Linked DNA regions of Oryctolagus cuniculus. Each later gene encodes a partner of the first gene's protein in a complex. Links are inferred from orthologs where the notes say so. Each region holds a gene or a part of one and is shown on either strand. Other genes may lie near its edges.

Region 1 (3,500 bases):
GCACAGTTGCGGCCATTGCAGTCATCTGGGGAGTGAACCAGCAGATGGAAGACCACTGTCTGTCTTTCTGTCTGTCTATGTCTCTGCCTCTCTGTAACTCTGCCTTTCAAACAAATAAATATTTTTTAAAAAGTTTTATTTTTGAGCCAGTGTGATGCTGCAGTGAGTTAAGCCACTGCTTGCAACACGGCTGGCATCCCACACAGGAGCGAGAGTTTGCGTCCTGGCTGCTCTCCTTCGGATCCAGCTTTCTGTTAACGCACCTGGGAAGGCAGTGGGCAACGGTCTGAGCACCTGGGCCCCTGCCACCCTTGTGGGACACCAGGATGGGTTTCCTGGCTCCTGGCTTTGGTCCAGCCCAGCCATGGCTGTTGCAACCATTTGGGAAGTGAATCAGTGGATGGAAGATCTCTCCCTCTCTCTCTGTTGCTCTGCCTTTAAACTAAACAAGTAAGTCTTTCCAAAGAAAAGTTTTTTAGGGCTGGCACTGTGGCATAGCAAGATAAGCCATGGCCTGTAATGCTAGCATCCCGTATCAGTGCACTGGCTCAAGTCCCGGCTGCTCTGCTTCTGATCCAGCTCCCTCTAATGTGCCTGGGAAAGCAGAGGAAGATGGCCCAAGTGCCTGGGCTTGTGCTCAGGGAGACCCAAATGAAGCTCCAGGCTCCTGGCTTCAGCCTGGACCAGCTCCAGCTGTTGAGGCCATTTAGGGAAAGAACCAGTGGATCAAGTTCCATCTTTCTCTATGTCATTCTTTATTTTTTCTCTGTGTCATTCTCCCCTTCAAGTAAATAAATAAATATTTATAAAAAGTCTTATTTTATTTTCAACTTGACACATAAAGCATATGTATCATGGGGTGCAATGCGATGTCCTGATATCCTCTGACCTTCGAAAGAGCCCCTCCAGGGGAGACTCTGCAGCTCCCATCATCTCCTAAGTGTCTCAGCAGGAGTACGACTCACTCAGGGTCTCACAGCAGGTCACGGTGCAGCTGGACTGGAACCTGCTCTCTACCGCCCCCTCAGGCACGGCTCCTGGTACCCAGCTTTCCTCCATCACCTTCCCAACACCCCCAAACACCAGTGAGCTCACCCCGCTCAGGGTCAGTCTGCTGCCTGTGCTCCGGAGGTGCCGCTCCAGGCTGCTCGGCTGCAGGTCCTCCCAGCGCACCCGCCACAGCTCGGAGGCCAGCTCCTTCTCCAGCTGCATTTTCCTGGGGCATGAAGCCTGCGTGTGAGCCCCGAGCCCGGGTGGGGGCGCTCAGCAGCCCCTCCTCAGTGCCAGGGGACCCTGAGCAATGGATGGAGGAATCCTACCCCCTGGGCTGGGGCATCAGGAGACCTGGGTGAAACCTGCCTCGATGGGGGGTCTTGAGGTACTTAGCTCAGTGTCCTGGCTTGGAAACTGAGGGCCTTAACTACTGTAAGAGTGAACGAAACCTGGTGGGTGGGGGTGCCAGGCGCCGGGCGCACGCTCCAGGCGCACACTCCACAGACACTGATCCGCCCGCCCTCCTGGCTTTCCCGTTCGGTAGCCTCCCTTGTCTCTCCACCTTAGCCTCCACTGGAAGGCAGGAGCGGGGGCTCATCCAACTCTGCTGTGCTCTGCGTTCAGCACCTGGGACACAGCTAGCCTCGTCATCCCTCATCGACTACCACGGGCCACCTCCCACCTGGCCGGCGGTGGGAGCAGCAAGGGAACCCAGTGCCCAGGCCTGAGCCCAAGGTCCTGTGATGCCATTTCCCTACTTCTCTGCTCCTTCTTGGCCTCCCAGCCCCCAGCCCACCCTGGCCTCTCCTAACCCTGTCCCCTTTCTCCTCCTTTTCTTTCCTCTGCATCCTGAGGCTGCTGAGTCTCTTCTCCCCATCTTACCAGGCTTTCCCTCTGGGTCCCTGCTACCTCCTCTGTGATTGGTTCTCCAAGTCTCTCTCTCTCTCACATACACACACACACACACCATTCACCCCACCTCCGCCCCGGCCACAGCTCACCTGTATATGAAAAAGGAGACGATGAGAATGCTGAGCAGGGAGATACTGCCCACCACAGCCAGCACCTCCAGGGTGGAAAAGTGGTCTGCAGGAGAGAGGCCGCGTTGCAGCAGGAGAGGTGTGGGTTAGACTGCAGGAGGCAGAAGCTTCTAACAGACAGTGAGGATGAAGGGAAGAGAAAGGCAGGAGCAGTCTTTCCCTGGGAAGCAGTGTGGGAGAGGAGCCCTGCTGGGACTTCCTTTGGGGAAAGGGTGCAGTGCCTCTGGATTGGCTCCGGATCAGAGGCCGGAAGACAAGGAAGGGCCAGTCACCTTGGTTGCAGGCTGGGTCCTCGTTGTCAAAGCCGCATTTGGGGATGTCGGGAGGAGGGTACCCCAGGGGCCAGTACAGTTTGCGCCCTGACACGGCCAGCAGCTCTTGGGAAGTTCCGTTGTAGTTCAGAGCAACCTACAGGGCAGCAGGAGTGGTGGGTGGGCAGCGGCCTGGGCTCAGGGCCCCTGTCTAGTGTAACAGTCTTGCCTCCTGCCTACCCCTTCTCTGTTTCCAGGGCCTGTAGCTGGGTGGTCAACATTTACCCAGCCCCCACTGTGACTGGATACAAGGAGACCTCCTACCCATGCCCAGGGCATTAATGTATAAGGATCTGAAAACTCCTCCAGGGGTTGATAAAGGAAATGCCATACAGAACCCCAGCCCTACACTAGGAGTTTATGATCTTGGTTGCAGCACACAGAAAACAGGAAAAAGGTCCCTCCTCCAGGAAGCCTTCCCTGGATGATCTGCTCCTTGGTGCCTCGATCCCTTCTTGTTCATGGCACGCCTAGAGCTGGGTAATGTGCATTCCTCGTGGCCCCTCGAGGGAGTGGGTCCTGCCTACCACAGGGCCGTGCTGTGCTCCCTCTTCAGACACGAGCTTCACTCAGGGCGATGCCCGGAAATCCTCTCAGCCTGGAGCTGGGTCCTTTTATCCAGGGCTTCTGAGTGTCCAGGTATGGAGGGTAACCGGATAAACACCCACGGGGGCCAGCATTGTGGTGCAACATGTTGAGCCGTCACCTGCGACACCTATATCCCATATGGGCACTGGGTTCAAGTCCCAGCTGCTCTGTTTCCTATCCAGCTCCCTCCCTGCTAATGGCCTGGGAAAGCAGCTGAAAATAGCCCATGTACTTGGACACCCACAACCCACGTGGGAGACCTGGATGGAGTTCCTGGCTCAGCGCTTCAACCTGGTGCAGCTGCAGCCAATGTGGCCATTTGGGGAGTGAACCAGGGATGGAAGATTCTCATTCTCTCTCTCTCTCTCTCTCTCTCTCCCTCCCTCCGTCTCTCCCTCTCTCCCTCTGTAACTCTTTCAAATACATAAACAAATCTTTAAAAAATGAAACAAAACCAATACCCTGGCAGGGCTGGAGATGGGGCAGGGGCGATGACACTCCACCTTCGCCCCGTCTGCTGGGCACACACACTTACCTGGAAGGCCCCAGTCTCAGGGTCCATGTCCCA
Region 2 (3,015 bases), about 110 Mb from region 1:
CAGTTCTGATTTTAGAGTATTAATATTCTAATGCATGAGTGAAAATGTCCAATACTACATGGTTACTAGTAGTTTTATATATTCACTTATTAATAATGAACCAATAGACCTGAGCCAATGGCTTGAATTTATTGTTTAGATTATTTTTCATTTTCTAATTAAAGATTATTTTACTTCGATTGAAAATAGGAAGTAGAAGATAAACCGGGCAACCACAAGACATTCAAACTGTCAGGGCATAATAATGTGCCCCCTCTAACCTCATCAGTCCCCTTGCATGTTTAAAAATAAAAGGCACAAATCAAGCAAAAAAAAGAAAAAGAAACCACAATCCAAGTCATGGCCGCTGTCCGTGGTGCTGAAGTTTATTCATTTTTTTCCAATCGACTCTCAGTAACACGTGAGGATCTACACTAAGTGTTAATGCTTTGGGTGAGAGAGGAGAAGTCACAGTTTGACTGCTTTACAGGTAGCAAAGTGTGAGAAATGTTGACAAGAAGCTGCAGCTCAGATAAGGTGCAGTAACGACTCGATGCAATGAGATGAGACAAAGTGACTTGAGAGACGCAGGAGGAGGAGGGTTCCTGCAGTGGGCCGAGGGCACCTGGCCGCCTTTCTTCCCTGGCTGTTATCTTCGGTACTACAAAGTGAACACAAACACATTCGGCTTGCTGGCCTGACTGTACCAGAACAGTCAGCTTCCCATGACTGTGCCAAACCTCCTGACAAAGCTTCCCCACTAGTCTCCACTCCAGCCTGATGATGCCCTGGGTTTCATAAACCGGTAAACTAGTTACTCATCAGAGCTAGTAATGGCATTCCTTGTCAATTTCACTATTCTCATTCAGAATCTCGCAATTCTTGGCAAGAACATGTACCATCAATTAGCTATGCAAAGATGATGGGCCCTGTGAATGCTAGACTCTCCCAAAGTGACAGCCATTTCCTTCCTCCCTCCCTTCCTCCCTCCATCCCATCCTTCCTTCCTTCTTTTCTTTTCTTCTCTTTTTTCTTAGCATTTTTGCACCAGGATGTAGCCGAGGACGATAGCATTGTCCTGAGACTCGCACCCCCCCAAGTTAGGTCAGAAATCTCAGAACAAACAAGCTTCTACACAGGTCCCTTCTTGATGAAGGTGCTCCTGTGAGGATTCTTTGATGAAGTCTGAACCCCTGCAAACCAACGGTTTCCTTCCTCCCCACCCATTTGCACCCCCAGTGCCTCTTACCCGGAAGCTGTTGCAGCCCAGACCACTCTGGGCTCCAATCCTGTCGATCCTGCCCCCAAAGCAGCTGGACCTCCGCAGGCTCCGAGGGGCAGTGAGCAGTGCCCTCAGCTTGCTTTTCAGGAGAGCAGATCTCTCAGAGGCCTCCCAGGTGCTTCTCCCAAGGGCTTCCCCATCTCTCTGGGCTGGACTGACCTCCCCTGTCCAGGGAGGGACCTCAGGAAGGGGGCTGAGAGCCGCCCCAGCTTCATCACTCTGCTCACTTAGTGCTTGAGGGGGCACAGCTTCATCTTCAAAAGGCATCCTGTCCTCCAAGTGGTCCAGCAAATTCTTTACCAAAGGAAAACACAAGGAAAAGGAGAGTGCTCACTGACTTGGGCAAATCGAGAGGAACAGGCGAGTATCTAAAAGCGCCCCGGCCCCAGACTGTGCCCCCCTTCCTGGCCCTACCTTGAAGTCCATCAGATCTGCGTTGGACATGGCGTTGTACACTGGGTTAGCTCCAATTTGATCTGGATGCCAGAATGCCAGACAGAAGAGGAAGCTCACGGTGATGGTGGAGAAGGGGCCCATGCTGGTGCTGGTTGGGGGTGATGTGCCGTTAGCTGCTTCTTCCTTCCTCTCGGTTCCCCCTGGGTCTTTGTCCGTCACTGTCTTCCAGCTGCCCAGTGCAGCCTCCTTTTATAGCCCCTTGGCTCTCCGAGAGCACAAGAGGAGTGGAACCCTCCCCATTCTGTCACTTGCAGAGATAAAGCAGCTGAGTGAGGAGCCCACAGAAGATGCCCTTTTAAAGTTATCAGCCAGCAGAGCTTGTCACAGCCCCTCTGCCTTGAGCAGCCCCCGCCGCCCCCCGGACCCTCAGCTGCAAGAGCCACATTCTTGTTGATTTGCCTCAAGAGGCTCCCACTTCAAAGGTGTGAGAGGAGCAAAAAAGAGTCCTTGGTTATCTCCCTGCCATGCCTCAGGATTCTTTCTCCTGGGCAACGGGACCCACGCGGGGAAGCAGAGGGGCCACTTGGCCCAAGCCCAGTTCCCCCGGTTTGTTTGCAGCTCAGCTGTCAGGGGCTCCAAATAAGGGTGGGAGAGGAGGAAGCGGGCGGGCAGCAGGACGAGGGAGTCCAGATGCCCGGGCTGGCTTCATACCTGACTCATCAGCCAGGCGGCCGGCTGGCCCCAGACAGGCCGCCCTCACCCTGGCCAGCCCTCTCAGCAGCCAGGGGAAAGAAGTTATTTTTTATAGCCTTAAGTCAGCCAGGACACAAATGTGATGAATGTCCCAAGAATTCAGCCGCTAAATATAAATACCAAGGAAACCTGGGGGAGCGGGATCGTCCCTCCCCAAGTCTCCTTGCGGGTGGGCGCTGAAGATGCTGCCGCGTTCACATCTCTGCCTCACTGAGTGGGGAAACCCTGCCTCCTTCCTTCAACTCCAGCCTGGGATTGGCCCCTGTGTTCCCAGGGAAGCATCCTCGGGAAGTTGGCTAACGGAGGGAGGGTGTGGGGGCAAGAATGGCACTGATCCCTGCCGTCTTTCACGTCTTCCTCTGAGACCAGGCCAAGTACTGAGCCATGAGCACCCCAGAAGCATCGGGCAGCAAGGCTCTCCACACTTAGCACGCAGCCTCCATTTGCTGAAGTCAAGGTTAGCATCCCATCCAATATGACATAAACTTGGGCTGAGGGCTTCAGAGACTCATAGCCCCAAGTGAACCATCTCCAGGGCTTTATTTTCGTTATCTGCTAAATGAGGTTACAAGGTCGACACCTGCCCTGCCTGCCTGATTCTCAGG

The links.
Region 2: the proteins of NPR1 (region 1) and NPPA are in contact, whole or in part, in a crystal structure (PDB 7BRG), measured with the Rattus norvegicus proteins. The link is inferred for Oryctolagus cuniculus from reciprocal best matches to the Homo sapiens genes NPR1 and NPPA. Residues at the interface, in NP_036745.1 of Rattus norvegicus: Asp90, Val115, Tyr116, Ala119, Pro120, Arg123, Ala139, Leu140, Gly141, Ile142, Val144, Tyr148, Tyr182, Asp184, Leu186, Gly187, Asp188, Asp189, Arg190, Phe193, Phe194, Val196, Glu197, Tyr200, Met201, Arg204, His213, Gln214, Glu215, Phe216; in NP_036744.1 of Rattus norvegicus: Arg126, Ser127, Ser128, Cys129, Phe130, Gly131, Gly132, Arg133, Ile134, Asp135, Arg136, Ile137, Gly138, Ala139, Gln140, Ser141, Gly142, Leu143, Gly144, Cys145, Asn146, Ser147, Phe148, Arg149, Tyr150.

What each region holds. Positions count from the first base shown.
Region 1 is NC_091438.1:44,638,343-44,641,842, forward strand, and holds part of NPR1 (atrial natriuretic peptide receptor 1), read right to left. Parts: coding exon 3,468-3,500; intron 2,442-3,467; coding exon 2,306-2,441; intron 2,080-2,305; coding exon 1,995-2,079; intron 1,217-1,994; coding exon 1,096-1,216; intron 1-1,095. UniProt on the Homo sapiens protein: Receptor for the atrial natriuretic peptide NPPA/ANP and the brain natriuretic peptide NPPB/BNP which are potent vasoactive hormones playing a key role in cardiovascular homeostasis.
Region 2 is NC_091438.1:156,614,928-156,617,942, reverse strand, and holds NPPA (natriuretic peptides A precursor), read right to left. Parts: upstream 1,882-3,015; 5' UTR 1,799-1,881; coding exon 1,676-1,798; intron 1,556-1,675; coding exon 1,229-1,555; intron 641-1,228; coding exon 629-640; 3' UTR 501-628; downstream 1-500.